Oryctolagus cuniculus: one gene and its partners. The protein of the gene in region 3 interacts with the protein of the main gene of each other region in a biochemical or structural test. Links are inferred from orthologs where the notes say so. Each region holds a gene or a part of one and is shown on either strand. Other genes may lie near its edges.

Evidence for each region.
Region 1: the proteins of ARF1 (region 3) and PLD2 form a complex in vitro, tested with the Homo sapiens proteins (2 studies listed by BioGRID). The link is inferred for Oryctolagus cuniculus from reciprocal best matches to the Homo sapiens genes ARF1 and PLD2.
Region 2: the proteins of ARF1 (region 3) and CYTH2 are reported together in a solved structure, tested with the Homo sapiens proteins (3 studies listed by BioGRID and IntAct, with this or other methods). The link is inferred for Oryctolagus cuniculus from reciprocal best matches to the Homo sapiens genes ARF1 and CYTH2.
Region 4: the proteins of ARF1 (region 3) and ARFGAP1 form a complex in vitro, tested with the Homo sapiens proteins (2 studies listed by BioGRID, with this or other methods). The link is inferred for Oryctolagus cuniculus from reciprocal best matches to the Homo sapiens genes ARF1 and ARFGAP1.
Region 5: of the proteins of ARF1 (region 3) and AGAP1, one has a biochemical effect on the other in vitro, tested with the Homo sapiens proteins (2 studies listed by BioGRID, with this or other methods). The link is inferred for Oryctolagus cuniculus from reciprocal best matches to the Homo sapiens genes ARF1 and AGAP1.

The regions. Positions count from the first base shown.
Region 1 is NC_091448.1:51,410,741-51,416,946, reverse strand, and holds the start of PLD2 (phospholipase D2), read left to right. Parts: upstream 1-2,390; 5' UTR 2,391-2,525; intron 2,526-2,977; coding exon 2,978-3,086; intron 3,087-3,176; coding exon 3,177-3,307; intron 3,308-3,398; coding exon 3,399-3,541; intron 3,542-3,905; coding exon 3,906-4,011; intron 4,012-4,100; coding exon 4,101-4,166; intron 4,167-4,260; coding exon 4,261-4,319; intron 4,320-4,444; coding exon 4,445-4,537; intron 4,538-4,626; coding exon 4,627-4,779; intron 4,780-5,235; coding exon 5,236-5,385; intron 5,386-6,206.
Region 2 is NC_091449.1:8,591,494-8,597,563, reverse strand, and holds the start of CYTH2 (cytohesin-2), read left to right. Parts: upstream 1-1,943; 5' UTR 1,944-1,959; coding exon 1,960-2,422; intron 2,423-2,676; coding exon 2,677-2,824; intron 2,825-2,925; coding exon 2,926-2,992; intron 2,993-3,771; coding exon 3,772-3,890; intron 3,891-4,464; coding exon 4,465-4,545; intron 4,546-5,184; coding exon 5,185-5,297; intron 5,298-5,394; coding exon 5,395-5,543; intron 5,544-5,951; coding exon 5,952-6,063; intron 6,064-6,070. UniProt on the Homo sapiens protein: Acts as a guanine-nucleotide exchange factor (GEF). Promotes guanine-nucleotide exchange on ARF1, ARF3 and ARF6. Activates ARF factors through replacement of GDP with GTP.
Region 3 is NC_091437.1:240,825-245,260, forward strand, and holds part of ARF1 (ADP-ribosylation factor 1), read left to right. Parts: exon of another isoform or gene 1-1,788; intron 1,789-3,476; 5' UTR 3,477-3,512; coding exon 3,513-3,660; intron 3,661-3,774; coding exon 3,775-3,885; intron 3,886-4,038; coding exon 4,039-4,163; intron 4,164-4,300; coding exon 4,301-4,436. UniProt on the Homo sapiens protein: Small GTPase involved in protein trafficking between different compartments. Modulates vesicle budding and uncoating within the Golgi complex. In its GTP-bound form, triggers the recruitment of coatomer proteins to the Golgi membrane.
Region 4 is NC_091442.1:562,644-568,184, forward strand, and holds part of ARFGAP1 (ADP-ribosylation factor GTPase-activating protein 1), read right to left. Parts: intron 5,371-5,541; coding exon 5,274-5,370; intron 4,396-5,273; coding exon 4,339-4,395; intron 3,821-4,338; coding exon 3,788-3,820; intron 3,210-3,787; coding exon 3,180-3,209; intron 2,659-3,179; coding exon 2,602-2,658; intron 953-2,601; coding exon 893-952; intron 345-892; coding exon 277-344; intron 1-276. UniProt on the Homo sapiens protein: GTPase-activating protein (GAP) for the ADP ribosylation factor 1 (ARF1). Involved in membrane trafficking and /or vesicle transport.
Region 5 is NC_091434.1:4,210,305-4,216,327, reverse strand, and holds the start of AGAP1 (arf-GAP with GTPase, ANK repeat and PH domain-containing protein 1), read left to right. Parts: upstream 1-2,576; 5' UTR 2,577-3,125; coding exon 3,126-3,999; intron 4,000-6,023. UniProt on the Homo sapiens protein: GTPase-activating protein for ARF1 and, to a lesser extent, ARF5. Directly and specifically regulates the adapter protein 3 (AP-3)-dependent trafficking of proteins in the endosomal-lysosomal system.

The DNA of each region.
Region 1 (6,206 bases), on a different chromosome or scaffold from region 3:
CTCTCTGTAACTTTCAAATAAATAAAAACATAAGTTTTTTTTTTTTTGACAGGCAGAGTGGACAGTGAGAGAGAGAGACAGAGAGAAAGGTCTTCCTTTGCCGTTGGTTCACCCTCCAATGGCCGCCGCGTCCAGCGCGCTGCGGCCGTTGCACTGCGCTGATCCGATGGCAGGAGCCAGGAGCCAGGTGCTTTTCCTGGTCTCCCATGCGGGTGCAGGGCCCAAGCACCTGGGCCATCCTCCACTGCACTCCCTGGCCACAGCAGAGGGCTGGCCTGGAAGAGGGGCAACCAGGACAGAATCCGGCGCCCCGACCGGGACTAGAACCCGGTGTGCCGGCGCCGCTAGGCGGAGGATTAGCCTAGTGAGCCGCGGCGCCGGCCAAAAAAATAAGTTTTTAAAAAATTGCAGTGATACACACATTATGCTTAATAGAGTGTCTAATCTTAGAAATTGGCATTATGGAGCTGCATTGTGACACTGAGGGTTTAGCCACCATGTGCAATGCCGACATCCCATTTCAGAGCGATGGTTGGAGTCCCAACTGCTCCATTTTTTTTTAAAGATTTATTCATTTATTTGAAAGAGTTACAGAGTGAGAGAGAGAGGGAGGGAGAGAGGAAGGGGGAGAGAGAGAGAGAGAGAGAGAGATCTTCCATCCATTGGTTCACTCAGATGGCTGCAATCTTCCATCTGCTGGTTCACTCCTCAGATGGCTGCAATGGCCAGTGATGGGCCAGGCTGGAGGCAGGAGCTTTATCCAGGTCTCCCACATGGGTGGCAAGGGCCATCTTCTGCTGCTTTCCCAGGCCATTATCAGGGAGCTGAATCAGAAGTGGAACAGCCAGAACCTGAACTGATGCCCCTATGGGATGCCAGCATTGCAGGCAGCAGCTTTACCTACTGTGCCACAACACCAACCCCTGTCACCCACATGGGAGACCCTGGTGAAGCTCTTGGCTTCCCCCTGGCCCAGCCCTGGCCATCTGGGGTCTCCCTCTCTCTCTGTAACTCTGACTTTCAAATAAATAAATACGTTTTAAAACTTGACTCTCACATGTTGGCCATTGTAGAATATCTGGAACTACTGAAGATTGTGGAAAACAACTTGGCGGTTTCATGTAGGTTAAACATACACTTATATAACCCAGAAACCCGACTGCTTCATTTTTGATCCAGCTCCCTGATAATGCAACTGGGAAAGCAGCAGGTAACTGCCCAAGTGCTTGGGCCCCTGCCATCCATGTGGGAGACCTATATGGATCTCCTGGCTCCTGGCTTGAGCCTGGCCCAGTCTTAGCTGTTGTGGCCATTTGGAGAGTGAACCAGTGGATAGAAGATCTATCTCTCCTTCTTGCTATTTCACTCAGCCTTTCAAATAAATTAAACCTTTTAAAAAAGTTAACTATCAAGGGCCTGACTTCGTGGCATAGAGGGTAAGGCTGCTGCCTGCAACACTGCCATCCCATCTGGGTGCCACGTCTTGTCCTGGCTGCTCCACTTTGAATTCTGCTCCCTGCTAATGGCCTGGGAAAAGCAAAGGAAGATGGCCCAAGTGCCACCTACGCGGGAGACCCTGATGAAGCTCTTGGCTTCCCCCTGGCCCAGCCCAGACCATCTGGGATCTCCCTCTCTGTTAACTCTGACTTTCAAATAAATAATATATTTTAAAAATTGAATCTAGCGTGTTGGCCATTGTAGAATACCTGGAACTACTGAAGCTTGTGGAAATGTGAAAATTGTGGAAAACGACTTGGCAGTTTCTTGTAGGTTAAACATACACTTATATGACCCAAAAACCCTACTGCTATTTACTCAAGAGAAATAAAAGCCACACAAAGACTTATACAGGAATGTTTATAGGAGTTTTATTCAGAGCAGTCAACTAGAAACAATCCAACCGTCCATCAGGAGTAGATAAAGCAACCTGCTTAGCTTAAAAAACAGAAATGTAACAAAATGTCATTTTCCCTGGACTGTCCTTGTTTAAAAGTTCAGAGTCTACCACGGAGCAGGCGCGCAATAAATGTTTGGTGAATGAATGTAAGGGTGCATTTCCCCTCATCCCCTCCTTCTACAAACGCTCTCCGGGAAAAGGAGGCACCTGCAGGTGCCCCCGCGGAAGCGCGGCCAGCCTGGGGCCCGAGGCAGCGCAGCTGGTGGAGAGGCCAGCGCGGAGGGACGCGCGCGGTTGGAGCGCACACTGGGTGGCGACCGGGTGCCCTCGGACCGAGGGCACAGCCAGGCTGGGCGAAGGCGGCCCCCGGGCGGTGGGAGGTCCCCGGTCTCGCCGGGCCGGGCCGGGCCGGGCCGGGGCGGGCCGAGGGCGGCGAGGGCGGCGGGGGCGGGACGCGCTAGGCGAGAATCCCGCGGAGGGGAGGCCGGGGCCCGTCCCGCCCCCGAGGGCAGGCCCGAGCCCCGGCCCCGCCCCGGCCCGCTGGGGTGTGGGCACCGGCTCCGGCTCGCGTTCGCCTCCGCTTCCCTCGGCTCGCGAAACCGCGCGGGCGCCGGCTGGAGCTGCCAGGGTGAGGGGGCCGGGCTGGGGGCGCCGCGGGGGTGTCGCGCCCCGGAGAGCGGGCGGGGACGAGACCGGCTGCGACCGGCGGGGGCCTCTGACTCAGCCGCACGCTCAGATTGCAGGAATCTTCTCCCGGGCAAGGAGCGCGCAACTTCCTCATTCCCGCCGGGACCCCCGCGCTCGGCCGGCCTGGCCCGGCCCGAGCCGCGTTGGCCCCGCGCTCTCTGGTTTCTGCGCTGCCCTAGTTCGGGACATCCGGGCTGGGTTGGGTGTACCCCGGGGGCTCCGGTTCGCGAGAGGGCGGAGTTGAGGGATCCTGCATCCTGGGGTAGGGGATGGAGGTTCTAGCCGCGTCACGGGGAGGTGGCCGGGCAGGAGGAGGTGAGAGGCGCAGGTGCGAGGCTGGGGGGTGGGACCTGCAGGGCTGATCGCCCCCCTGAGGCGGCCCCGCATTCCTAGATGACGGCGACCCCCAGGAGCCCCTTCTCCTCTGGGGACGACCTGGACTCCAGCCAGTTACAGATGGAGCCGGATGAGGTGGACACGCTGAGGGAGGGAGAGGACCCAGGTACTCAGGATCAAGGCCCCCGGGGGAGGGGAGCCGGGGAGGGCTGGGGCCCTCCTGGGGGCTCCAGTCTTGGACTTTGTCTCCTCCCAGCTGACCGGATGCACCCCTTTCTGGCCATCTACGACCTTCAGCCGATGAAAGCGCGCCCCTTGGTGTTCGCCCCTGGGGTCCCTGTCACAGCCCAGGTGGTGGGCACCGAAAGATACACCAGTGGATCCAAGGTGGCCAGGCAGGCCCCGGGGTGGGGGGGTGGGGTGGGCGTGGCTTTGGCCAGAGGGGAGGGGACATGGATTCAGCGACTCACATCCTCAGGTGGGAACCTGCACTCTGTATTCAGTCCGCCTGACGCACGGTGACTTTACCTGGACGACCAAGAAGAAGTTCCGTCATTTCCAGGAGCTGCACCGGGACCTCCTGAGACATAAAGTCCTGATGAGTCTGCTCCCCCTGGCCCGGTGAGGGGAGCCCAGCTGCATGGGGAGGGCAGACGCCCCTCGACCCGCGGCAGCCATTGCTCCTTTCTGTGCAGCCCACCCCCAGGCACCTCCCGGCCCCCAACTCCCCTGACCCTGGTTACTAGGAAACTTGCCCTGCTCAGCTCTCCCTGGCTGCGGTTTCGTGCCAACATCTCAGCTGGGCTGGGTGCCCAAAGTGGCCTTGGCAGCCTCTCCAATCCCAGGACAGGGAGGTCTGCCTTGTGCCAGCCCCCTGACCTCCTCCCAGACCCCAGCAGCCCAGCCTGCCAGTGCCTTTGCCCCCACCTGCGCCTCCACACCAGGCTTGGGACAGGGCCTGACCCGCACCCCATCCCTTCCGCAGCTTCGCTGTTCCCTCTTCTGTGACCCGAGAGGCCACCAACAGAGAGATGCCCTCTCTACCCCGAGCAGGTCATGAGGGCTCCAGCAGACACACAGCCAGCAAGCAGGTGCGGCAGACACCTGGTTCCCTGGGAAGGCGTCCCTCTGTGCACGTGGCTCTGGTCCCACCTGTTTCTCTTTCCCATTCCCACTTCAGAAATACCTGGAGAATTACCTCAACCGCCTCTTGACCATGTCCTTCTACCGCAACTACCACGCCATGGTGAGGTCCCCGAGGGGACGATGGGCCTGGGTCCACGGGGCCACGAGGGACCAAAGGCCAGGGGGCTCCTCTGCACTTTCGTCTTCCTCTGCAGACAGAGTTCCTGGAAGTCAGTCAGCTGTCCTTTATCCCAGACCTGGGCTCCAAAGGATTGTGAGTGTGGAACACCCCTCCCCCAGCCGTCTGCAGCCCTCACTCCCCAGCCCTTCCCGCCTGAGAACGGGGCGGGCAGGGGGCTGCAGCCCTCATCCAGCGTCTCTTCCTGGTTGTCCCCACAGGGAGGGCGTGATCCGGAAGCGCTCGGGTGGCCACCGCGTCCCTGGCCTCACCTGCTGTGGCAGAGACCAAGTTTGTTATCGCTGGTCCAAGAGGTGGGGGTGGGGACTGAGCAGCTGAGCGGGGGCTGGGGGTGAGGAAGGGGAGCTGGCGGGCAGGGAGGAACCGGAGCCCTTCCGTCCAGGTGGCTGGTAGTGAAAGACTCCTTCCTGCTGTACATGACCCTGGAGACCGGCGCCATCTCCTTTGTTCAGCTCTTCGACCCGGGCTTCGAGGTACAGGTGGGGAAGAGGAGCACAGAGGCACGGTATGGGGTGCGCATCGACACCTCCCACAGGTGAGGGCTCCCCGGGGTGAGGGGACCCAACCTGCCACCCTCAGGGGGGTTCATGCGGGGCCGGGGGACTGTGGCAGAGAGGAAGGGAAGGCTTTTCCAGTGCCTGGGATCCAAGTAGTTTTGAACCTGGGAACTGGTCCAGCCACATGCTTGGGATGCTCTTACAGTCTGGGGCCAGAGAGAGCAGCCCCTGTAAGCCGGAGCGGGGGTGGGGGGGAGGGTGGGGGGGGCGTGCTCCCAGTGGAAGAGAAGCTCCCTTCTCATTTGCTCATTTGACGAACCTGAGTGCCTGAGCCAGGGCTGCTTGCTGGGCCCCGGCCAGGAGTTAAGTGTAGCCTGGCCCCACGGAGTCCTGATTAAGGACTAAGGGAGGAAGTAGGAAAAGGCTGAAACAGGGAGGTCCTTGGCAGGGTATGAAGGGCCAGGACCACTGGCCCCGTCCTCGTTCCCCTCCAGGTCCTTGATTCTCAAGTGCGGCAGCTACCGGCAGGCCCGGTGGTGGGCCCAGGAGATCACCGAGCTGGCTCAGGGCCTCGGCAAAGACTTCCTGCAGCTGCACCGGCATGAGAGCTTCGCCCCGCCCCGGCCTGGGACCTTGGCCCGGTGGTGAGACCCTGCTGTCCCTTCTGAGCCTGTGTGTGTGTGGCCTTCCTGACCCCCTGAGTTCTGTGGGTCCTCGGTCCTCTCTTATCCCTCTGACCCCTGCTGACCTCAGTGACCCTCCCTGACCTCCAGCCTCTTTAACCACACTGATCCCCCTGACTCCCCTCTGACCTTTCTGACCCCCAGGCTCGGTAATCTCCTCTGACCCCTGATCTCTCTGACCTCATACGACCTTTCAGATCCCCGCTACCACCCTGAGCTGCTCTCCGGGATCTCAGACCTCTCTGGTACATTTCTTCATTTAGTAAAGGTTTCCTAAGCACCTGCTATGTGTGGGACGCAGGCTTCTATGGTTGAGGGAAGTAAGTAATCCCATCATGAAATATCGTGATAGATGCAGGGCACCGAACACAGACTGGGGGCGTCTGCCCAGCGTGAGGACCTGGGGACAAACTTCTAGAAGGCAGTAACCTCAAGGCTTGCTTAGCAAGACAAAGAAGAGGCCGCAGGGCAGTGCAGGCAGAGTGGACAGAAACAGCCTGGCGGGTCTGGGATCCTTGAGGCCTGAATATGGCTACAAAGCAGGGAGCAGCTGTCGGAGTAGGGGCTGGGAGTCAGCAGCCTGTGCTGAGCTGAGGAGGGTGAACTTGATCGCTGGCTCTGGGGCGTCATGGAAGAATTTTTTTTTCTTGGGGGCGGTGTTGAGATTTTGCTTTTGTTTTAGTTCTTATTTATATGAGAAGCAGAGAGACACAGAGAGAGAGAGAGAACACGCGCGCTCCTATCTGCTGACTCACTTCCCAAATGCCCGAAACGGCCAGGGC
Region 2 (6,070 bases), on a different chromosome or scaffold from region 3:
ACCAGCAAGTGGAAGATGGCTCCGTCTCTCACTGTCACCCTGCCTTTCAAATACATAAGTAAAAAGGACATCACAGGGCCAGCAAGGGGTAGTGGAACCATGGCTAATGGCCAAAGCCAGCTAGTCCCTGGCCTAGCTCTAGAATCTGGGCAGGGAGGAAGTAGCTCTGAACACCGGAATCTTCCCGTGGAGGGGAGAGGAAGTGGGTATTGTGCGGGAGATTGTCCCCCAGACTAAGGAACTGGGCACGCTGACGGGGGGTGTCTACAAGTGTTTCTGGGGAGGTCTTAGGCCCGCCCCCATGCTGCCATGTGGCTAATCATCCTGCAGGCTGGGAGCCAGCCGCAGAGGGAGCCAGTGCCAGGGCAGGGAGGAGGCGTCTCCACTCCCGTGCTGCAGGCCGAGGCCAGGCGCTGTCACTGCACAAGTACTGCTCAACCGGCTGTCCCCTTCGGGCTTCCCCGACCCCTTTTATCCTTCAGAATCCCCGTGTAATGACCGGATGGGATTAATTAGCTGGCCGCTCTCACAGCTCGCGGTGTCTGGGGAAGGGGCAGGGGACAATGGAGTCTCAAGGGGTGGGGGAGGATGTTAAGTTGGGGTGCAGTGACGAGGAGGGATTCGGTTTGGAAGGACAGAATGGGGGCAAAGCCGACACACGCCGTTCTCTGGCCGGGTAGGACAGGACCCGGGCCGCTCATAAAGGTCAGTGAGGGGATTAAAAGGCTCCATGTCTAATCCAACGGCTTAACCAGGTCCTGGCCCCGAATCCGTCCCCGCCCGCCCAGCCCAGGGACGGCAAATGAGGTGAGGCCCAGAGACTTCAGTCCCCGTGGTCTGACCACTCACAGGGGCTCGGCGGTTCTGTCCAGGCGGGACCTGCGCACCTGCCACCCCCGGCCGGGGCTGTGGAACGGGAGGGCCTGGGGCGCGGGGGGAGTCTGAGAGGGTCGGGGTGGGGGATGCCTGAACAGAGCAGAGCCGGAGTCGGGGGAGAGAAAGCAGAGAGGCGGCAGAGAAAAGAGAAAGAGGTAGAGACTCGGAGGGAGGATGCTACGCTAAGGGGAGGGGCTTAGGAAAGAGGGCGGAGCCGGTGCTGTCCCTAACGTCCCATTCTGCGTGACCGGTACCCGGGAGTGTAGCATTTGACAGAACTCCATTTCACTACGTCCTGACCCTGAAGCGGCTGGAGTGGTCATGTGGGGCGTTAAGGGAAGGGTCTGCACGTAGCAAGGGAGACGCGAGGCAAAAGGCCGGCGAAGCCGCTCATGGTTGCGCGGCAACCGCGGCGGTCCAAAGCCAGCGTGGCCGGCCGGGAGGTGTGGCTCACGGCCTAGGCCCCGCCCCCTAGCAACAGGACTAACAAAGTAACGCCCCCTGGCAACGTGCTGAGAGGCGGGGCTCGACTGACCCAGACTCCGCGCGCCCCGAGTCCTTGCGCAGGCTCAGTGTTCTCCGCTCGCGCACAGCCCCACCTCCTCACAACGCCTTTGCGAGGCTTCTCATTGGTGGACAGGCTTGCCAAGGGCATTCTTTTGTTTCGGGGGCGGGGCCTGGCGCCCTGCCCGCACCCCGATTGGGCCCCCTGGCTGTCTACCTCCGGCCGGACATGCCTAACACCTGTTTCTTGTGTGCCTATTGGCCTGGGCGGACTGTCCTTTGGCGTCGGGGGGCGGTGCAGCCCGGAGGGGTCGCCGCGGATTGGGCGGTGTCAAGACGAGGGGCGGTCCCTACCGGCCGGGCGGTTGGGCGACGAAGGGAGAGTCTTTTCAGCGCTGAGGACTGGCGCTGAGGAGGCGGCGGTGGCTCCCGGGGCGTTTGAGCGGGCTCACCCGAGCCCGCGGGCCAGCGCGGATCCAGGCCCGACTGGCGGGACCGCCCCGGACTCCCCGCGGGCCTTCCTCGCCGCCATGGAGGACGGCGTCTACGGTAGGCCGGAGGGGCGGGGCCGTGGAGCGGATGGAGCGTTCCCTGGCGAACGCCCCGCCGCCGGCGTTCGCGCCCGGCGCCCGCCGCCCGGGGTCCTCGGCGCCGCCGTCGCCGCCGCGCTGGCCGGGGCGCCGGGCGGGCTTCCGGCGGGGTCCGCGAGCGCGGGGCGTTCCGGGCCATTGTCTGGGCCGAGCCCGTTTCCGGCGTCGGCGGGAGGGGGCGGGATGGCGCGGCGGAGGCGAGGCCGGGGCGGAACCATTCCCGCCGGAGGGGCCGGGCGAGCCCAGCGGCGGGCGGGGAGGGGAGGCCGTGGGGGCTGCCGGGTCCGCCGAGGCCCGGCCGCGCCGTCCCGACTCCGCGGGCTGCCGTCGGCTTCTCCTGCCGTGGTCACTTCCCTTGGACCCAGGGCTTCCGAAGACCCAGGCCCATCTTCCCCCGGGCCCCCCGGCCGCCGCGCCAGTAATGGAATCAGAACACCACGGCCGCTTTCCAAGTAATGGACCCGGAGGCCGAGGCTCCCACGCGGGTTCCCCCTCAGACTCTGGGGGCCGGGCCCTAAGCCCCCCCGCCCCCCCCGGGACTCCCGGCCTCAGCCCTGGCCTGAGCGGTCCAGGCTGCTAGTGCCCCCTTCATCCGAGGCAGGCGCCTCACCTGCGTCCTGCCCCAGCCCCGTCTCGCCCCACGTTGCAAGCATGCAGGCTCCCGGCCCCAGGGCTGACCCTCGGCACCCCGACCCCGGCCCCGCAGAACCCCCAGACCTGACGCCGGAGGAGCGGATGGAGCTGGAGAACATCCGACGGCGGAAGCAGGAGCTGCTCGTGGAGATCCAGCGCCTGCGGGAGGAGCTCAGCGAGGCCATGAGCGAGGTGGAGGGGCTGGAGGCCAACGAGGGCAGGTGAGGGCCGGGCCCGGGGCGGGCGGCCCGAGCCAGGCCGGCCCAGGACGCCAGGCCTGACCCTGGGCCGCCGCCCCCGCCCTGCTTCGTGTCCCCTGCAGTAAGACCTTGCAGCGGAACCGGAAGATGGCAATGGGCAGGAAGAAGTTCAACATGGACCCCAAGAAGGTACCGGGGGCCAAGGGCTGGGTGCTGCCGGGGGGCGGGGGGTTGTAGCAGGTTTGTCCCCAGTCCCTGGACTCAGCTACTGGCTGTCCGCTTGCGCTGTGAGCCCTGAGCAGTCCAACCTCTGGGGAGGCGCCAGACACCAGGCTGTGGACAGCCAAACGGGGAGCCTGGGGGGCTGCCCCGAGGAGGAGACCAGGTTAGGTTTGGAGGATGGAGAGGCGTTCACCAGTTGGAGGAAAGACTTTTTTAAAAGGGGGAAAGAGAGGGAGGGAGGTCCCAACAGCCAGGGCTGGGCCAGGTCAAAGCCAGGAGCTTCTTCCGGGTCTCACGCACAGGTGCAGGGGCCCAAGGACGTGGCCATGATCTGCTGCCTTCCCGGCACGTTAGCAGGCGGGTGGCTTGGAAGTGGAGCAGCCGGGACGCGCACGCTGGCCCAGCATTGCTCACCCAGTCGTTCATTTAACACCCGTTTTCCAGTGCCTCCCGAGGGCCCGACCCTGTGCCGGGCGGAGCTGGGGACCCAGGGAGGAGAGGCCCTGGACACAGACCCACCGCCCAGAACGAGCTGTAGCTGCAGCGTAGGGGCTGCACGGCCAAGAGGGCGCCGAGGAGCCTCCAGGCCGCCTGGGGCTCGGTGTCCACCACTGCTGCCCACTGACACCGTCACTCAGCAAGCAGGTGTTCAGCGTGGACCTAGCCAGGCAGGGACAGGGAGGCTGAGGTCCAGGCACCTGTGACGGCCTGGCCCCGGGCACTGAGAGCCCGCTCTCGCCCGCCAGGGGATCCAGTTCTTGGTGGAGAATGAACTTCTGCAGAATACCCCCGAGGAGATCGCCCGCTTCCTGTACAAGGGTGAGGGGCTGAACAAGACAGCCATCGGGGACTACCTGGGGGAGAGGTGAGCCCCTTCATGCCTGCCGGCCTCGCTCCCTGGGCAGGGCCCCTGCACACTGGCCCTCGGACCGGACTGCTGCGGAGTGTGTGTGTCTGGGTGTGGGCGGCCTGCCAGCGCCCAAGACGGGGGTCCCCTTATAGAGAGCATCCAGGAGCATCACGGGAGTGGGAGAACCAGGCATGGGCTGCAGGTGTGCGTGGGAGCTGTCTGGCCAGCCAGGGAGTGTGGGGACGCGTGGCAGGCCCCTAGGGAGCACGGACCCCGTGGACATCTAGGCGATGTGCAGCTGGGTGATGGCTGGGGAGCATGTGGCTGGCGGGGGGCATTGGCAGGCCTTCATGGCCACTGGGGTGCACGTCTAGGGGCCAGGGCACCGTGTCCACATCTGGGGAGTGTGGGGTCGTCTGAGGGGGCAGGAGGTGGCGTGGGTGGTGGGTGCGAGTCTCCCAGCAACGGTGCAGCTAAACTTGAGCAGCCCTGCCGTGGGGCCAGGCGGGAAGCCGCGTTCCCTGCCGAGGGCCAGCTGCCCCAGTGCCCCCTGTGCGTTCCTGTGTGTGTGACTGTCCTGTGCTCGCAGGGAGGAGCTGAACCTGGCCGTGCTCCATGCTTTTGTGGATCTGCATGAGTTCACCGACCTCAATCTGGTGCAGGCCCTCAGGTGAGGGGAGGGGTCGGGGGGGCAGAAAGTCACTTTCCTTAGTCCGGAGTGGTGAGCCCCACCCCACACAAAACTAGGGAGTTGATTGCTTCTTGTAATGCCAAAGTCCATGAGTGAGCCTCCTCCAGGCACGGCCGTATCCAGGCGCCCTCTTCGCTCGTCGTGTTGGCATTGAGCTTCTTGACCTTCCTACGTGGCACCAGAAGCCCGTAGCAACCACCAGACCTGTTTAGAAACCTCAGAAGAAGTATTTTTAATTTTCATTTTATTCGAAAGGCAGAGAGAGACCTAGGCAGAACAGCCAGGGTTGGGCCACGCTGAAGCCAGAAGCCCAGAGCTCCATTCGGTCTCCATGTGGGTGGCGGGGCCCAGGTACTTGAGCCGCCAGCTGCTCCCTCCCAGGGTGTGCGTTGGCGGGAAGCCGGGGAGCAGGGACTGGAACAGGATGCGGGCGTCCAGGCAGCGCCCCAGGGGCCAGAGCTGCACTGGCAGTGCCCCCCGGTCAGACCGGGTCACGGGCCCCTCCCTGAGACGCAGGCGGAGGCCTGGCCGCTTGGGTCTCTCGCTGGCCGGTCCCTCCCACGGCTCCGGGGGAGGGGCTCCTGCTGGTCCTGGCGCCCACACCCGCCCCGCCCCCAGGCAGTTTCTGTGGAGCTTTCGCCTCCCTGGGGAGGCCCAGAAGATTGACCGAATGATGGAGGCCTTTGCCCAGCGCTACTGCCTGTGCAATCCTGGCGTCTTCCAGTCCACAGGTGAGGGTGCAGGCCCCTGGGGCGGCGGGGCCGGGGGCGGGGCCGGGGGCGGGGCCGGGGCCAGGCGGTCACCGCCTCCCCTGGCCACCCGCCGCAGACACCTGCTACGTGCTGTCCTTCGCGGTGATCATGCTGAACACCAGCCTGCACAACCCCAACGTGCGCGACAAGCCGGGCCTCGAGCGCTTCGTGGCCATGAACCGGGGCATCAACGAGGGCGGGGACCTGCCCGAGGAGCTGCTGAGGGTCAGGCTCCTCCTCCCTGCCCCTGTCGCGGCCGCCTCCCCTGCCTGGGGCCTCCCAGGTGCTGCTGTCCTGGGGCTGCCTGAGCACTGCCCTCCCCTCCCACACATGGCCCCATCCTGCCGCCTGGCGCGATTCTATTTTTTTTTCAGTTTTTTATTTTCTTCTCTGTGGTCTCTGTCTCCGTCTCTGTCAGCGGCCCTGAGCTCCAGGCCAGTGTCTCTCTATCCCTGTCCTAGGCCCCATCTGCTGTTGCTCTTTCTTTCTGTCTCCCCATTCCCCCGGCTTCCTGCCTCTGCTTCCGCTTCTCCCGTCCCCCGCTGGGTGGCCCCGCCACACTCTCCCTGCCCCCGGCGAGCCCTGGGAGGGGCGCGGGAGCCCCGAGTGGCTGACCAGGCCTCCGCCCCCCAGAGCCTCTATGACAGCATCCGCAACGAGCCCTTCAAGATCCCCGAGGACGACGGCAACGACCTGACCCACACCTTCTTCAACCCGGACCGCGAGGGCTGGCTCCTGAAGCTGGGTACGGC
Region 3 (4,436 bases):
CTCATTCAGGAGGCCCTGCCCCTGACCAAAAAGTAGCAGGGATGGGATGGAGTGAGCAGAGCTGCGGTCTGCTTTGCTGTGATGTGTAAAGGCCAGCTGGTCCTAACCAGAGAGAAGACATTCCTCTCAAAGCACCTTTCCTTGCCAAAGGAGAGAGCTGTGGTCTGGCAGGAAGGAGAACCGTCCAGGGCAGCCCTTCTGGTGGTGTGGGGAGGATGCCCTCTGGGAACCTGTGTTTTCACTGCTTACCTAATAACAGTATAATTCAGGTGAACTTGAAAAACAGGTTTAGCTTGTGTGCAGGTGACATTGTGGAGGAAATGGTGAATTAGCAGTTGGGCTGGGCAGTGACTGCAGGGGTCACTGGGACTCACCCCCACTAGGATTTTGTCCGTTGTGGGCCTGTTAACAGAGGGATGTGCCAAAGCAGGAAGTGTTGCCTACCATTGGGCCTGTGTAGGTAGCAGGGTGTGCTTGTGTGCTAGTCAGGTGGTGTGACAAGAACCACTTCTCCAAGGAAAAAAGAGAAGCACTGTGGGGAAGGGGCTTGGACCACTGGTTCTCACAAGCCCTGCTGCTCAGGCAGGGTGAGGGTTAGGGCTGAAGAGCAGGCCAGGCCCAGTCCATTGGATTCTGGAGTCACAGGCAGTGTATGTGTATGCAAATAGAATCGTGGATGAGATCCCTGCAGCCTAAGTCCTGGTAGCCCCCTCTTCCTCACCTGCCTCTAGGCTCGACACAAACGATGTGGGCGGGGAGGGCAGGCCTCCTACTGCACAGGTCCTGCCTCCGTGTCCCAGCGTCCAGTGGTGCAGTGACAGTGTTGGGACCGTGAGTGCTGTGTGTGCAGAGTCAAGTTGACGCTGATACAGGCTGCTCTGGGGTGCATTGTAAGGGGACCTCTCCCCTTCCGTTCACCTTTGTCCTCATGTGTTGCTTTTTCCCAGTGCCTCCAGGAGTTGCCAGGCTTAGTGTGAAAATACGTTGCTGCCTGGTGGCATCTCCCTCCTGTGCCATTCTGGACAGGGTCATGAGGAAGGGGCAGTTTGCTGGTTTTTCTTTGTGTTGTGCCCAAAGCCTTCATTTTGAATTTTTCATTTTGGCAATCTCTTGGTTCTCCAAGACTTTGTATAACTTGTTGATGCCAGTGTGGTTTGTGTTTGGTGATTGGGTCGCCCACCCTCCACGCTACTCTTTAAATAGTCTTCCGTTTCTTGTCTTGTGTGTTTTCCTCCAAGTTCTGTTTGTTTGAGGCTTTTCAAAGAGGCGGCAGCTTCACTTTATGGAGGGCCTTCAGGTGCCACAATCCATATGTTTTTTTTTTTTCTTTTTTAAAGATTTATTTATTTATTTGAAAGGCAGAGTTACAGAGAGGCAGATGGAGAGGGAGAGAGGTCTTCCATCCGCTGGTTCACTCCCCAGATGGCCACAATGGCCAGAGCTGTGCTGATCAGGAGCCAGGAGCATCCTCTGAGTCTCCCACGTGGGTTTAGGGGCCCAAAGACTTGGGCCATCTTCCATTGTTTTCCCAGGCCATAGCAGAGAGCTGGATGGGAAGTGGAGCAGCCAGGACTCGAACCGGCAGACATACAGGATGCTGGTACTGCAGGCGGCAGCTTTACCCACTGTGTGTGTGGACAGATCTGTGGGGCCTTAGACCTCTGTTTTCTTCTGGAAGCTCCTTCAGCCCAGTGTTTCTCCCTGCACCCTGCAGGACTGAGGACATGCCCTTGGCCCGGCCCTATCTCCAGTATCCCAGGCACACCAGCCGCCGCTTCTTCCCTCCAGGTGTGTCTAGTCCGCTCATTAGCACAGTAAAGGTTTCCTTACATCTCAAAACTCCTGTGGTTCTTTTTGGATAGATGATGCGGTTCCCAACCAGACAGAACAGCAGTATCCAGGGCACAGACGCCAAGGTGAAGGGGCCCTGCTGTCTGGGGGGCTGGTGGCATCAGATCAGCAAAGGGCACTTGGGCAGGACAGGGAGGCTGTCCTTGTGGGGTGCTCAGCAGCGGCTGGGAGGCTGGTGTTACGACACAGTAGCTAGAGCTGCTGCTTGTGACACTGGCATTCCCTATCAGAGCGCCAGGTTGAGCCCTGGCTGCCCTGCTTCTAATCTAGCTACCTGCTAACACACCTGGGAAAGCAGCAGAAGATGGCCCGCGTGCTTGATGTCCTGCCACCCATGTGGAAGACCAGTATATAAATCTATTTAAAACAAAAACAACCAAAAAAAAAAAAAAAACAGCTGTAATTAAAGACATGTCAGGAGTCTGGCCATCTGAGGTGCAGTGTGTGCCGTGTGTCCAGCTGTCTCCTTCAGAGAGCCTCTGTTGCACACAGGGGCAAGTGCCGTAGGCAGTCCTGGCCTGGGCACTGGAGGGGCATCCCAAAGTACAGAGCCTCAAGGAGTGTGGCGAGGTCTCCAGCAGCAGTTCAGCAGTTAGGCGCCAGGGAGTGTCTGGGCCTTGCCTGCGCTCCTGTTGGAAACTGTGTCCAGTGCAGCAGTGTTGGAAGTGAGGCCTTTTGGGAGGAGCCTAGGTCAAGGTCCTGCCCTTATGAGTTCATTGGTGCCGCTGTGTAGGAGGGCTTGTAGGAGTGGGTTCGTGTCCTCTGAGGTCAGAAGGTGATCCTGACTTCAGTCTCCAGAGCTGTAAGCAGTATCATCTGCTGATGGAGATGCCCAGGCGGTGTCAGGACCCTCTGTCCTGTACCTGCTAGTCAGCACACAGTGAAGGCTGCATTCTTAGAGTGCTTTTTAAATTTGGAGTTAAACTGAAAGTGCCTACTGGGTGGTACGACCAGGGCCCCCTGGGCAGTGCAGTGGCTGGGAAGGTCCTCAGGTGTCTCGGGCTGGGCTCTGATGATTCTGATTCTGTATCCCTGTGTTGGTGTCCTGCTAGTGGACCCTGAGGGCCATGTGTGGGTCAGACATGGTACATGTCCCTATGTGATGCCCAGGGCTTCTTGTCTTGTTCTGTGAGTGCTGCCTGTAGATTGTATGCATAGCTCCTTGGCCTGTGCTCCTGAGACTTGCCGTGGGCAATCTTCTCTGGCCCCGGGGGGTGGGGGGTGGGGGGTGTTGGCTGCTTGTCTGGAGTTTTGTGGGGAAGAGGTGTTAGGTGATGCTGTGTCAGATCCTTCCGCATGCCCTGGGAAGCACGACTTCAGGTGGTGAATGTTCTCCCCGTGCTGCGTGGCCGGGGGAGTCAGGGAGTCCCTTGCAGCATCTCTGCTTTCCTGGATGAGTGGGCTTGGGAACTGCCTCCCGAGATGCCGACATCCCTTTTCCCCAGCCGTGGGGAGCCTGAATGGATAGGTAGGCAGGGTTCCTTTTCTGTTGCTCGTGTCCTGCCCTGTGAATTGAAGCACAGTGATGGGAGGTGTGTGTATCCTCAAGGGATTGGTCCCTAACTGTGCTGCTGGGCCCATGACTCGCCCCACAGAAACAGACCCAGCACCCTTTGTCTTCCCAGGTCTCTGGCTGTTGTAGCTTCCACGTGTGCACGACCATGGGGAATATCTTTGCAAACCTCTTCAAAGGCCTTTTTGGCAAAAAGGAAATGCGCATTCTGATGGTGGGCCTGGATGCTGCAGGGAAGACGACGATTCTGTACAAGCTGAAGCTCGGTGAGATCGTGACCACCATCCCCACCATAGGTGAGAAGCTAGGCCCTGGGCGCAGGTTTGGGGGGAAGCCCAAAGCGGGACTGTGGCTGGGGTCTGGGTTGGGCCCTGGTCTTCCAGGAGACACTTTTGCAACTCTGCTCCCAGGTTTCAACGTGGAGACTGTTGAATACAAGAACATCAGCTTCACCGTGTGGGACGTGGGTGGCCAGGACAAGATTCGGCCACTGTGGCGCCACTACTTCCAGAACACCCAAGGTGAGAGGAGGGCCTGACCTCCAGAGCATGAGTCCAGGGCAGCATGGAGGCCAGGAGGAGCCAAGCCCTGCAGCCACAGTGGCCAGCGGTGACCTTCAGGAGCGGGGTATGTGGGGGTGTTTTTGGCATTGTGTCGTGCCGGCTGTGTTGCAGGCTTGATCTTTGTGGTGGATAGCAATGACAGAGAGCGAGTGAACGAGGCCCGGGAGGAGCTCATGAGGATGCTGGCTGAGGATGAGCTGCGAGACGCAGTCCTCCTGGTGTTTGCCAACAAGCAGGTAGGCAGGCACCCAGCCCAGCCTTCAGGGCTGTGCCCTCAGTGGGGTGGACGGGGAGGGCTTGAGGTAATCTGGGGCTTTTGCTCTGGGGCTGGGCAGTTTTGCAGCCCCTTCTGCTGACTGCTGCTTTTCCCCAGGACCTCCCAAATGCAATGAACGCAGCTGAAATCACAGACAAGCTGGGGCTGCACTCCCTACGCCACAGGAACTGGTACATTCAGGCCACCTGCGCCACCAGCGGGGACGGGCTCTATGAAGGACTGGACTGGCTGT
Region 4 (5,541 bases), on a different chromosome or scaffold from region 3:
CAGCCGCTGTCTGTCACCGGGGGCGGCACTCGGACAGCAAAGCGCTCAACGCTGGGTTCTTACGGGGATCAGGACAGAAAAGCCCAGAAGCCCTCAGGCCTTCCCACCAACCCCAACCCTGACGGTGACTCGGGGCAGCAGGGGCGAGGCCCGGCCCTGCCCTCGCCCTGGGCCGCGCCTGCGCCACGGGGAACGTCTGCCGCCGAGCAGCCGCTGCCCGAGGCTGGGGGGAGTGCGCCAGCCAGAGCCTCGGCCGGGCGCCCGGGGGCCGCCTACCTCTCCTCTGCTCTCCCAGAAAAGAAGGTGGTGACGTCCCTCCAGCCTTTGCTGCTGACTCCCTGGACCTGGAGGGGGGGGGCTGGTCAGACCCTTCCAAGCACACGGGTGCACGTGCCACGCAAGCACACGCATGGACAATCGCAAGGTCCCACGAAGACACAGACAAGACTCAGAAGTAAGGGTGTCAAACGTCACACACGACACACACACGTGCCGGGAGACACAGCTCTCCCAGGCAGGGCCACCTCGCGCCCGGCTCACCACACGCAGGGGACAGCGCAGGCCCCACCCAGAGCCCTCCCTGCGAGTCAGCAGCTCCAGGACCACCCCGAGGCCGTGCAGCAGTGGCAGGCGTGTGGGCACTTACCACGGGAAAGGCCACGGCAGCAAGGGCAGAGGAGGCGACAGGTTAGCGGCTGGCAAGTCCCCGCCAGGCCAAGCTGTCTCCATATTCCGCAAGCCAGAGGCAACAGGCACATCCCTGCCCCCCTGCACCGCCTCGAGGACGGTGGTCCCGCCACAGCTGGCTGAGGCCGCCGGCCCTGCCCTCAGGGCGGCGCCCGGAATATGGAGACTGGCTCGGCTGAGCCCACGCCAGGCGGGGCTGCCCTACCTTGGACGCCAACTGAGAGACCCCACTGGACACATCATCAAAAATCCTTCCCTCCTTCACCTGCGTGGAGCAAACGTCCCTGTTGGAGCAGGCGCCCAGGAGCGGGCTGTGGGCCAGCAGCGATGCCAGCATCAGGACACCGCGTCCCCAGGGGCCCTGCGCCATCGTGACAGACGAGGGGCAGCAGGGGCCCGTGGCTCCCTCAGGGCAACATCAGGATCCCGAAACCCCCACCTACACCCTCAAAGCGGGAATAACAAAACAACTCCCAGGGAGGGAAAAAGATCAAGGAGGGGGAGAAGGCGCTGCAGGCACCAGCACCGGGCAGCGGAGAGCGCAGGACGGCCAGCTGGGACCCGGCACAGCCTGCGCCGTGTGCGTGAGGACAGCCTATGCCAGTGTGCGTGAGGACAGCCTGCGCTGTGTGCGTGAGGACAGCCTGCGCTGTGTGCGTGGACGGCTGGGACCCGTGTGTGTGAGGACAGCCTGCGCCGTGTGCGTGAGGACAGCCTAAGCCAGTGTGCGTGAGGACAGCCTGCGCTGTGTGTGTGAGGACAGCCTATGCCAGTGTGCATGAGGACAGCCTGCGCTGTGTGTGTGAGGACAGCCTGCGCTGTGTGCGTGGACAGCTGGGACCCGTGTGTGTGAGGACAGCCTGCGCCGTGTGCGTGGACAGCTGGGACAGCCTGTGCCGTGTGTGTGGACGGCTGGGACCCGTGTGCGTGGACGGCTGGGACAGCCTGTGCCATGTGCTTGATGGAAGCTGGGACAGCCTGTGCCGTGTGCGCGGACGGCTGGGACCCTTGTGTGTGAGGGCAGCCTACACCCGTGTGCATGATGGAAGCTGGGACAGCCTGTGCGGTGTGCGTGGACGGCTGGGACCTGTGTGCGTGGACAGCTGGGACAGCCTGTGTCGTGTGCGTGATGGAAGCTGGGACAGCCTGTGCAGTGTGTGTGGACGGCTGGGACCTGTGTGCGTGGACGGCTGGGACAGTCTATGCCATGTGCGTGATGGAAGCTGGGACAGCCTGTGCCGTGTGCGCGGACGGCTGGGACCCATGTGTGTGAGGGCAGCCTGTGCCGTGTGCGTGAGGACAGCTGGGACCCGTGTGTGTGAGGGCAGCCTGCGCCCGTGTGCATGATGGAAGCTGGGACAGCCTGTGCCGTGTGCGTGGACGGCTGGGACAGCCTGTGCCATGTGCGTGGACGGCTGGGACCCGTGTGCGTGAGGGCACGAGGGGAGGATGCGCCTCCCCCGGGCGGTGGTGACTGATCCTGGAGGCCAGTGTCTCCCTGGGAGCTGGGCTGGAGGTCCTGTCTGAGGCGGCCCCCTGCCTGTAAGACCCCTGGAGGGGTGAGACCACCTCTGAGCTCGGCCCTGTGGGGGCCTGAGCACACGCAGCCATGAGTTACTTGGCCACGTCCCTCAGCCACGAGCCGCCAGCGCCCAGCCCCAGCCCCAGCCGGGGACACGCACGGCAACACCTGCTTGTCCACTGGGGTGGCCCAGGGTGCTGTGCCCACCCCTCCCGACCGGGACCCCAAAGCGTAAGCAGCCGTCTTTTACAGGACTTTGGTCTCGGAGTTCCAGACCTGAGGGGTTCCAGCGCTCGCCCGGGACCTCGGAGGCGGCTCATGCAGAGGCCCCTGGCCACAGAAGCCCCCGCCCCTCCCCCACAGGCCGCCGGCCGCAGCCGCAGCCCCGTTACCTTCTCCTGGGCTGGTCGGAGAATGTTCTCGTTCAGGCTGTGGCCCAACTCAGAGGCCTGTGGGAAGGAAGCCGCAGAGCTCACGGGTGCCCACGGGGGGTGGCAGTGGGACCGGCGTGCCCAGGGCCACAGAGGAGGGCAGCAGGGGCCACCCCACGTGCACGTGGCTGCTGCCCGCCCCAGGAAGGGCCCCCATGACAGCAGCGGGGCCCCGGGCTTGTCCCCACAGCTGCTGGCGGCTCAGCTTACACAGACACATCTGGGCGGCCCAGGCGCCCTGACCTGAGGACAGAACTGACCTCGCTCCCGCCCTACCGGCCGCACTGGGCTCCCATGAGCACCCTGACCCAGGCCCTGACCACCCAGACAGAAGGGAGGACAGAGGCCGGGGCTCCGGCAGACGCTGCTAGGGAGAGCCACGTCACGGTGACAGGAAGCACAGGCCACCTCCCCGTGGGCACCAAGGGCGGAGGGAGACCTCCCAGCAGCCCCATCTCGGCGGCCAGCGGGGACGAAGCCATTCTCCGCGGCCGGCAAGAGCATGCACCGCGCGGCGTGCACCGAGCACAGGGCTTTACCGGCTCTGGCTGCTGCCTGTGACCCCAAAACTCGACCCAGACAGCGAGGAGGCAGGTTAGGAGAGAGAGAGAGCGAGGTGCTACACGCAGCTTCCACAGCGCCCAGGAACACCTCCAGATCTCAGCCCTTGGCTGGACTGAGACCCCCCCGAGCCAGGGCGTCCCGGCCTCCCCCCGGCTCCCGCCTTCCAGACCTGGGCGAGCACCCGGGGAGGCAGCATGGCGGGAAGACAGCCCTCCTGAGGAGCTGTGCCAGCGGCCGTGAGGGACCGGCCTAACTGCAGGGCCTGGAGACTCCCCCAGGGACAGCGGGCGCCCTGGGCCCCAGCCCTGACCACGTGTCACGCACGGGGGTCACCAACCAACAGCAAGGCCATGGTGGACCCCACCGCCACCCGCAGCAGAGCTGCACCCCAGGGGCAGAGCCCCCTGCCCCGTTCGCCTGCTCGGTGAGGAGGCGGCTCCTGCCCAGAGGCAGAGGGGCCCACCCCACCCTGACTCCCCGCTACGAGTCTGGCGGGGGGCCCTGGAAGAACCAGCAGCGCCCGAGCACGCGGTGGCGCCGTGAGGAGGCCTCAGCACGCGCCAGGGCAGAGCTCCTCGGTTACCTTCTGACTGGCCTGGGATCCGAACTTTGTAGCCTGCGAGGGAAACAGGGCTGGTGAGTCCCGGCTGGGCCTGGCCTGGCCTGGCCTGGCCTGCGCTTCCTGCCAGTGGGCTCCCACGACTCCGTCCCAGGGCCGGCTTCTCACAGCTCGACCAGCAGCGGCTCCCAGGGCCGCGCCGGCCGAGCGCCCTGGGCCTTCCCCTCAGGGCCCACCCACTCATCTCCTGTGTCACTGTCTGTCCCGACCGAATCCCCCCTTCACACCCAGGAGCAGGCAGACGTGAGAGAAAACCCAGCCCCTCCGTGTTCTGAAAGGGCCAGAGGCTGGGGCTCAGGGACACAGGAGCCCACGGCCTGTCCACCAGGTGAGCCACGTCTGCCCCGCCACAGGCAGCTCGTCTCGGACCCTTGGAGACACTGCACCTGCAGCTGCAGCTGCCAACGCCGCAGGCCACTCTGCTGGGGGTGTGAGGCCCTCGTGGGGGGTGAGCCCCGGGGGTCCCGACACAGCCCGGCCCCCAGGGCCAGGGCCAGACGGCACCAGGTACTTACGCCCTCCTTAGCTGCTGAGGCGAACTTGCTCGCTCCGGTGGTAAAACTGCTCCAACCCTGAGAGGCACAGAATGGCAAGGTGGCCGCCTCACTGTGACCGCCCGACCCCGCTGACTGGCAGGCCCCGCTGACTGGCAGGCCCCGCATGACCGCCCAACCCCGTGTGACCGCCAGGCCCCGCGTGAGGCTCTGAGGACCACACCTGCTCACCGCCCGCAGCCCGTCTCTGCACCTCACTTTGAGTTAGTCTAAAAAGCCCTCCCTGGGCCGGCACTGTGGCACGGTGGGTAAAGCCACCACCTGCAATGCCAGCATCCACGTGGGCACCTGTTCCAGTCCCGGCTGCTCCACTTCCCATCCAGCTCTCTGCTGTGGCCCGGGAAAGCAGTGGAAGGTGGCCCAAGTGCTTGGGCCCCTGCGCCCATGTGGGAGACCCGGAAGAGGCTCCTGGCTGTGGCCTGGCCCAGTCGTGCCCTTGCAGCCATTTAGGGAGTGAACCAGTGGAAGATCTCTCTCTCGCTCGCTCCCTCCTTACTCTCTCTGTAACTCTGCCTTTCAAATAAATAAAAAAGAAATTAAAAAAAAAAAAAAAAAGCCTTCCCCTCGTCGAGGAACGGCTGCGCCAGCTGCACGCGGTGGCTGCCGTGGGCCTCAGAGGCGTCACCAGAGGGTGAGAATCCGTCTTGGAAGCAAAGTGCCCTCAGGGAACAAAGGTGACGCCGCGTCGCCGGCACCAGCACGGGCATCAGCCTGACCAGGCCTGGCAGTGACCGCGCAGCCGGAGGAGCCCTCCAGCTCTATCCCCCGTCGCTGTCACTCTGCCTGTCAAACACATCAACCTCAAGAACAAGAAACCCCAGCCCAGATCCGTGTCTTGGCTGGACGGCACTGGGGGCGGGGCAGGGGCCGCGCACCGCGCTGCAGCCGGCACCCACCGAGCACAGCGAGGACATGGCGCTGTTGAGGAAGTCGTCCTCTCTCTTCTGGGGCGGCACCGTGTTCCCAAACCCCACGTAGCGATTCTCCTGGGCCCTGAAAGCGAGCGCTGACGTCAGCCCGGCGGCTGCGGCACGGACCCCGACGCGCCTGCGCCCGACGGAGTGCAGGGGCCCACAGCCACAGCCGTGCTGTCCGTCTCCAGAAGGTCCCAGCCACCAGGACGGTTCACCTGGCGACTCCCTGATGGGCAGATTCCAGGGGAAG
Region 5 (6,023 bases), on a different chromosome or scaffold from region 3:
CAGGCTTCCTCCTGGGGCAGGGCAGCCGGAACAGTGACCACAGGCTGGCCGGCCGGGCTGAGAGATTCCCTGGAAGACTCCCTGTCATCTGTGGATCAAATGGATTCTTCTACTCCAGCAGCCTGCATCCAGGCAGGGCGCGGTGTAAAACGTGGGCTGGATTCTAGACAAAGGTGGGGTGGCCGGGAGACCGGGAGGGTGCCGTGCGGAGCTCTGCAGGGCCGCCCCTCCCCGCTGCCTCCACGCTGCCTGTGTCTCAGACGCACGGCTGTGGACCAGGCGCCCCCGTCCTGAAGTGCAGCGCAGTGTTAAAGCTGCGTGGCTTCTTGCACACAGTGGGATGGTGGGTTCCGGTGCCACCTCTGCCTCCTGCAGAGCTGTCTGGCCACACTGCTGAGTGTCCGCTTCTCACCTTGCGTGTCCAGACGACCTTTGAGCGCTGTGCAGCTGCGGCTGTGACATGTTCGACTCCTGCCAGGTCCTCGTGGTACTCTTGGGTGAGACGGAACGCCGGGCACCGCGGCCCTCTTTGGGGTGGCTTGCCCCCTTTCAGTCGTTACGGTAACAGCACCCAGCCTTGGAGGACTGGCACCCCGCCTTGTCGCTGTGCAGCCTGAGTGTATATTGAACGAATAAACGAACCGGTGGGAGAATGAAGAAATGAGTGAGCGCCGGCTCGGGGCGCCGTGTCCAGGTGGCGTGGCCCACTGACGGGTGTCACTTCAGGAGGGCTCACCCGTCTGCTCGCTGTAACATCCAGAAAGCAGGGTGCTTCCCACGGCAAGAGACACAGCATCGGAAGGCAGGTGTGGGCCTGGACAGTGTGAACTGCATGCCCCAGGGAGGGGCCACCCTCTGAGACTGAGCATCCCCTGACAGGGTGGCCCCTAGAAATGTTCCCAGGGCCTGTGCTGTGGCGTAGCAGGGCACGCCTCTGCCTGCAGTGCCAGCATCCCGTATGGGCACAGGTTCGAGTCCTGGCCACTCCACTTCTGATCCAGCTCCCTGCTGACGGCCTGGGAAAGTAGCACAGGATGGCCCAAGTGCTTGGGCCCCTGCACCCACGTGGGACACCCTGAGGAAGCTCCTGGCTTCGGATCCCCTCAGCTCTGGCCACTGCTGCCACTTGGGGAGTGAACCAGCAGGTAGAAGATCTCTCTTTCTCTGCCCCTGCCTCTCTCTAATTCTGCCTTTCAAATAAATAAATAAATCTTAAGAAAGTAAATAAATAAATAAATAATAAGTAAAAAAAATAAAAATAAATAAATCGCCCCATCTCAATTAAAAAAAAAAAAAAACAAGCAAACCACCCAGCAGTCTTTCTGGTTTATTTCATTGTCTGAACATGTAATTTCACCTGGGTAATGTTCCAGATTTGCTAGACTCTGACTTCTTTCAGCAGAGAGCCTACCTGCTTATCTTTCTGTTGCTTTCAGCGTCAGGAACAGAGTGGAGCCCCCGAGTGGTTGCTAACACAGTAGAGTGGGGTCACCGGCACCTGGTTTTTGCCTGCACATCACTAGCCCGTGCCGAGGCACTGCTTCGGCAGTCCCGGGCCTGGAGAAGCATCTGGTTTGATTGGCAGACTTTGTATTTGTCATGCTTCTCGTCTGAAACGCACATGCATGTCAGGACAGCATGGGGAACGCCGTGTTGACCAGGCACGTGTGACAGGCGTCCTCCCTGCATCCGATGTTCCCTGGGCCCAGTGTCTCGTGGGCGGATCTGATGGACGAGAAGCTCAACTTTTTAAGTAATCAAGGCTGGGCTGGGGCTGGGGCTGGGGCTGGGGCTGGGGCTGGGCCGGGGGCTGGGGCTGGGGCTGGGGGGCACAGCACGCTCAGCCTCTGCTTGTGAAGCCAGCGTCCCATGACGGAGTGTCAGTTCCCGTCCCGCCTGCTCCACTTCCACCCAGCTCTCTGCTATGGCCTGGGACAGCAACAGAAGATGGCCCAACTGCTTGGGCCCCTGCCACCCGCGTGGAAGACCTGGATGGAGTTCCCGGCTCCTGGTTGTTGCGGCAAATGGAGGATCTGTCTCTGTCTGAGACGGATGATATAGATCGATGCCCAGCGCAGAGTGTTACAAACCACACAGCCCTCCCTGCGGTGGTCAGAGTTCAGCAGCTCTTGTCTGCCTCCCCACTTTACAGGTGGACATCCTAGGTGGCCCCACCTGGCCTGGACAGGCAGGCCCTTCCTCCTGCCCCTCCCCACACACTGGGTCTCCTCCTCCTCCCTGGTTCTTGTCTTCCCGGGAGCCGGTACGAAAGAGAACCTTTGTGCTCCAACAAGTCCTAGCGTGGTCTGGTCTGCAGAGCTGCGTGCTGAGAGCGCCGCCCTGAGCCCACAGCAGGAGAGCGGCCCCTCCTTTGTCCTGTGCCCAGCCCTGGGTCGCGCGTCCCCTTAGGACAGGGCCAGCGCCGGCGCCGCGAAGCTCCGGTCCGCGCACTCGCGATCCAGCCCGGCGCTTGGGCACGCCGCGCTCGCCGCCGCCGCCGCCGCGCTCCCGAGCTCTGCCGGCTGCGCTGGGCGCGCGCGGCCCGCGGCCCCGCACGTCGGCCCCCGCCCCGCCCCGGCGCGCATTTCCATTTTAAACCGCCGCCCGCCCGCCCCTCGACCGCGGCCGGCGCAGCTGCCCGCGCGGCCCGGGCCCCGGGAGTGGCGGAGGCTGCCGAGTCGCCGAACGGAGCAGAAAAGGCCCGGAGATGCCCCGGAGATGCGAGCGGGCCCCGCGCCATAGACAATGAAGCCGCGGGCGCCGCCGCCCGCCCCAGGCCCTGCGCGTCTCGGCCGCACCTGCCGGCGAGGCCGTAGCCGCGCCTGACCGCCCGCCCGCCCGCCCGCCCGCCACCGCGCCCCGCCGGCCCATGGCTCAGCGCCCCGGGCCCGGACCCCCGCACTCGGGTCGCGCTGCGCACGGGCCGGCGGGCGCCAGGGGCGCCGTACCCGCAGCCTGAGCGCGGCCGCCTCTGCGCGGGGGGGCGTGGGCCCCGCTCCTGGCCCTCCCGCCGGCCCCCAGCACCTCTCCCGGGGACCCTCCTACCGACCGCCCATCGCTGCCCGCGAGCGCTCTGGCTGCCGCAGGGCCCCGGCGGGCGGCGCGACGGCCGCGGCCGGGGCACCATGTACCTGCTGGACAGCAGCGGCGAGCCCGCGTCGCCGCCCGCGGACGCGATGCCTCGCGGGACGCCCCCCAGGAAGACGGTCTACCGCATCTCCGTGACCATGGTCAGGAAGGAGCAGCTGGCCGCGTCCGGCCCCGACCCGCGCCCTGCTCGGCGGCCCCGGCCCCCGCGCTCCCCGGACGCGCCTGGGCGGCTCGTGGAGGAGGCCGAGGAGGCGGCGGGCGCTGAGGACTCCGAGGACCGCGAGCCGCGCGCCTGGGACTTGCGCACTTTCCGGACCCGCAGCACCGGGCAGCTGGAGCTGGGGCGGCTCCGGCCGTGCGCTCGCGGCCCGGACCCGGTGGACCTGGCCGGCGGCGGCCCTCCGGCTGCGGAGGAGGGTCCCAGCAGCCCCGACCTGGAGGGGGCCCGGGCCGCGCCCCTGCGGCGGAGCCTCAGTTTCAGGCACTGGAGCGGCCCGGAGGAGAGCCCGCCCCTGGGCGTCGGGAGGCGCCACGGCAGCTCCGGGAGCCTGACCTGGGATGCGGGCGACGGGGCCGCCGCGCAGCCGGCGTCGGAGAAGCGCAACACCCTGGACGTGGGCGAGGTGCTCAACAAGGGCGACGCGCGCTCGGACGCGGAGCGCTGGGAGTGCAGCAAGAGCAAGAACCGCACGCTGGACAACAGCGACCTGCAGCGGCTGGAGCGCGCGCGGGCCGCCGCCGCCGGCCCCGGCGCGGCCTCGGAGCGCCGGCTGCTGCGCTTCTTCAGCGGCATCTTCGCGCGCAGGGACGGCGCCGCGCGCCAGCGGGGTTATTTCAGCAGCCTGCGGCGGGCCCCCGCCGACGTGCACTCGTCCAGCGCCGAGAGCATCGGCGGGTCCCCGCGCAGAGGTGGGCAGCTGGGCCCTGGGCGCGCGAGGCGGGGGGGAGTGGCGGGAACGGACCTGGTCCCGCTCCGGCGCGGAGCAGCCGTGGGCCCTGCCTTGCCGGGTCAGGAGCCCCACGTAGACTGACACACTGCGGTTTTTCCCTAGCAGTCTTGCAGCATTCTGGAAGTTAATGAGTGCCGCCGCGGCTGTGTGTGTGTGTGTGTGTGTGGTCTTTGGGGGTCTGACCTGGACAGGGATCCCCTTGTCCAGCTCAGCCTTCTCCCTAAGCAGGCAGGGAGCTGGCTACCTGCAGCACGTCTGGTACCTGTGGCCTCCAGGGAGCCGTGCTTGGCTTGCGCAGCCTGGGGCGCAGGTGCAGCTGCCTGGCAGGAGAAATCAGCATTGGTCTTGGTTTATCCTGTGCCCCCCACCCCCACCCCCAGCCTGCAGTCTGGGCTCCCTGTCAGTGCTACCATCTGTGAGTGTTGTGCCGTGGGCTCAGCTGATTGGGCGGTTCTCACCTGCTGAGAGTTCCCGGCAGGGGTAGGGCAGGAGTGGAGGGTGGGGGTCCTTCTTGCTGCCAGCAGGTGTCTTGATGGGGAGAGGGCTTCGCCCTCCCCATCCTCCTGGGCAGGGTCCTGTTTCCCAGTAGGGCGCTCTGGCAAGCATCTCAGGTCTCTGATGGGACTTCTGGGGAGTGCCTCTTGCAGGAGTCAGTTAATTGCTAGCATTTGGGGGCCAGAAGCCTCCAGAGACTGCAAAACACAGATCCCGTCTGTGGTACTCGGAAGGGGTGTGGCTGGATGGTTGCACCCTGCTCACGTGGGCTGGGCATATGCCTTGACATCCCCTTATCATTAATCATATCCCTCATCCTAATGACCGGAGCCCACTGCTGGCAGAGAAAAGGTAGCTGGCAGGCTGCAGCGTGGCTTTTTTAAAAAATTATTCACGCTTGTATCCACTGGGCCACTCCCCAAATACCCACAACCCCTGGGCCTGGGCCAGACAAGCCAGGCCAAAGCCTGGAACTCAGGCCAGGTTTCCCACGTGAGTGGCAGGGGCCCAGCAACCTCAGCCTTCACCTCCGCCTCCCGGGGACTGGCAGGAAGCTGAAGTCGGGAGCCAGAGCGGGGCATGGAACCCAGGCACTCTGAGATAGGATGCGGGAATCCTGCCTGGACCTCAGCCCGTGGGCTGGGTGCCCACCGGTGGAGCGTGGCCTTTGCAGTAGTAGCTGTCAGCTTGGTGCCTCCTGGAGAAGTGGCTGTCGCAGGTTAGCTGCCCGCCCTAGGGAGTCGGCACAGAGGGGTCCCCGCGGTCGCTCGGGTACCCTGTAGGCAGAAGGGCCCTGTTCCCTTAGCTTCTGGTGACCCTCAGGGGCAAGAGGATGCCGGAGGTGTGGCAGGTGCGGTCTCCACGGGGGGAGTGTGGCCTGCCATCCCTGCCTGATTTGAACCTGCCTGGGGGCACTTCCTGTCTGACAGCAGCTGCTAGCCCACCCCTGCCTGGTCCTCTTACATATTAGGAAAGGGTGGGGGTTCTGGTTGGTGCTCCCCTGCCACGCACGGCCTTGGTTGGGTTCCGAAGTCTCACCTCTGAAAGGCTCGGCCCTCCCTCTAATAGCAGGCCTGCCGCTTTGTTCTTGTGGACTTCAGAACACATGGTAATTAGCTGCCTGGGTTCCAGACAGTCTCCCTCGGGGCGGGGTGGGGGTGGGGGTGCACAGACACGGCTTAGAACCGCACGGTGCCTATTGATACAAGCCAAAAGCCTTTGAGGTCTGAGTATTTCCCCTCTGTCAAATGGGCTGGTAGATTGAGAACAGTCGAGGTGTGAAGCCTGTTGGGATGTTTCCCTGTAGGGCAGCGGTAGTAATAATTACAGTAAGCCTGCGATGGTGATGGCTTGTCCCTGGTGGCCTGGTGGCCGGTCCTTCTGGGGTGGAATTACTTTGGCCTGAGATGTAATGACACTGCTAGGGTTGTGGGTTGCATCGAAAACCCGATTTTAATGAACTCGTTAAACACACAGGTGAGAACTCGG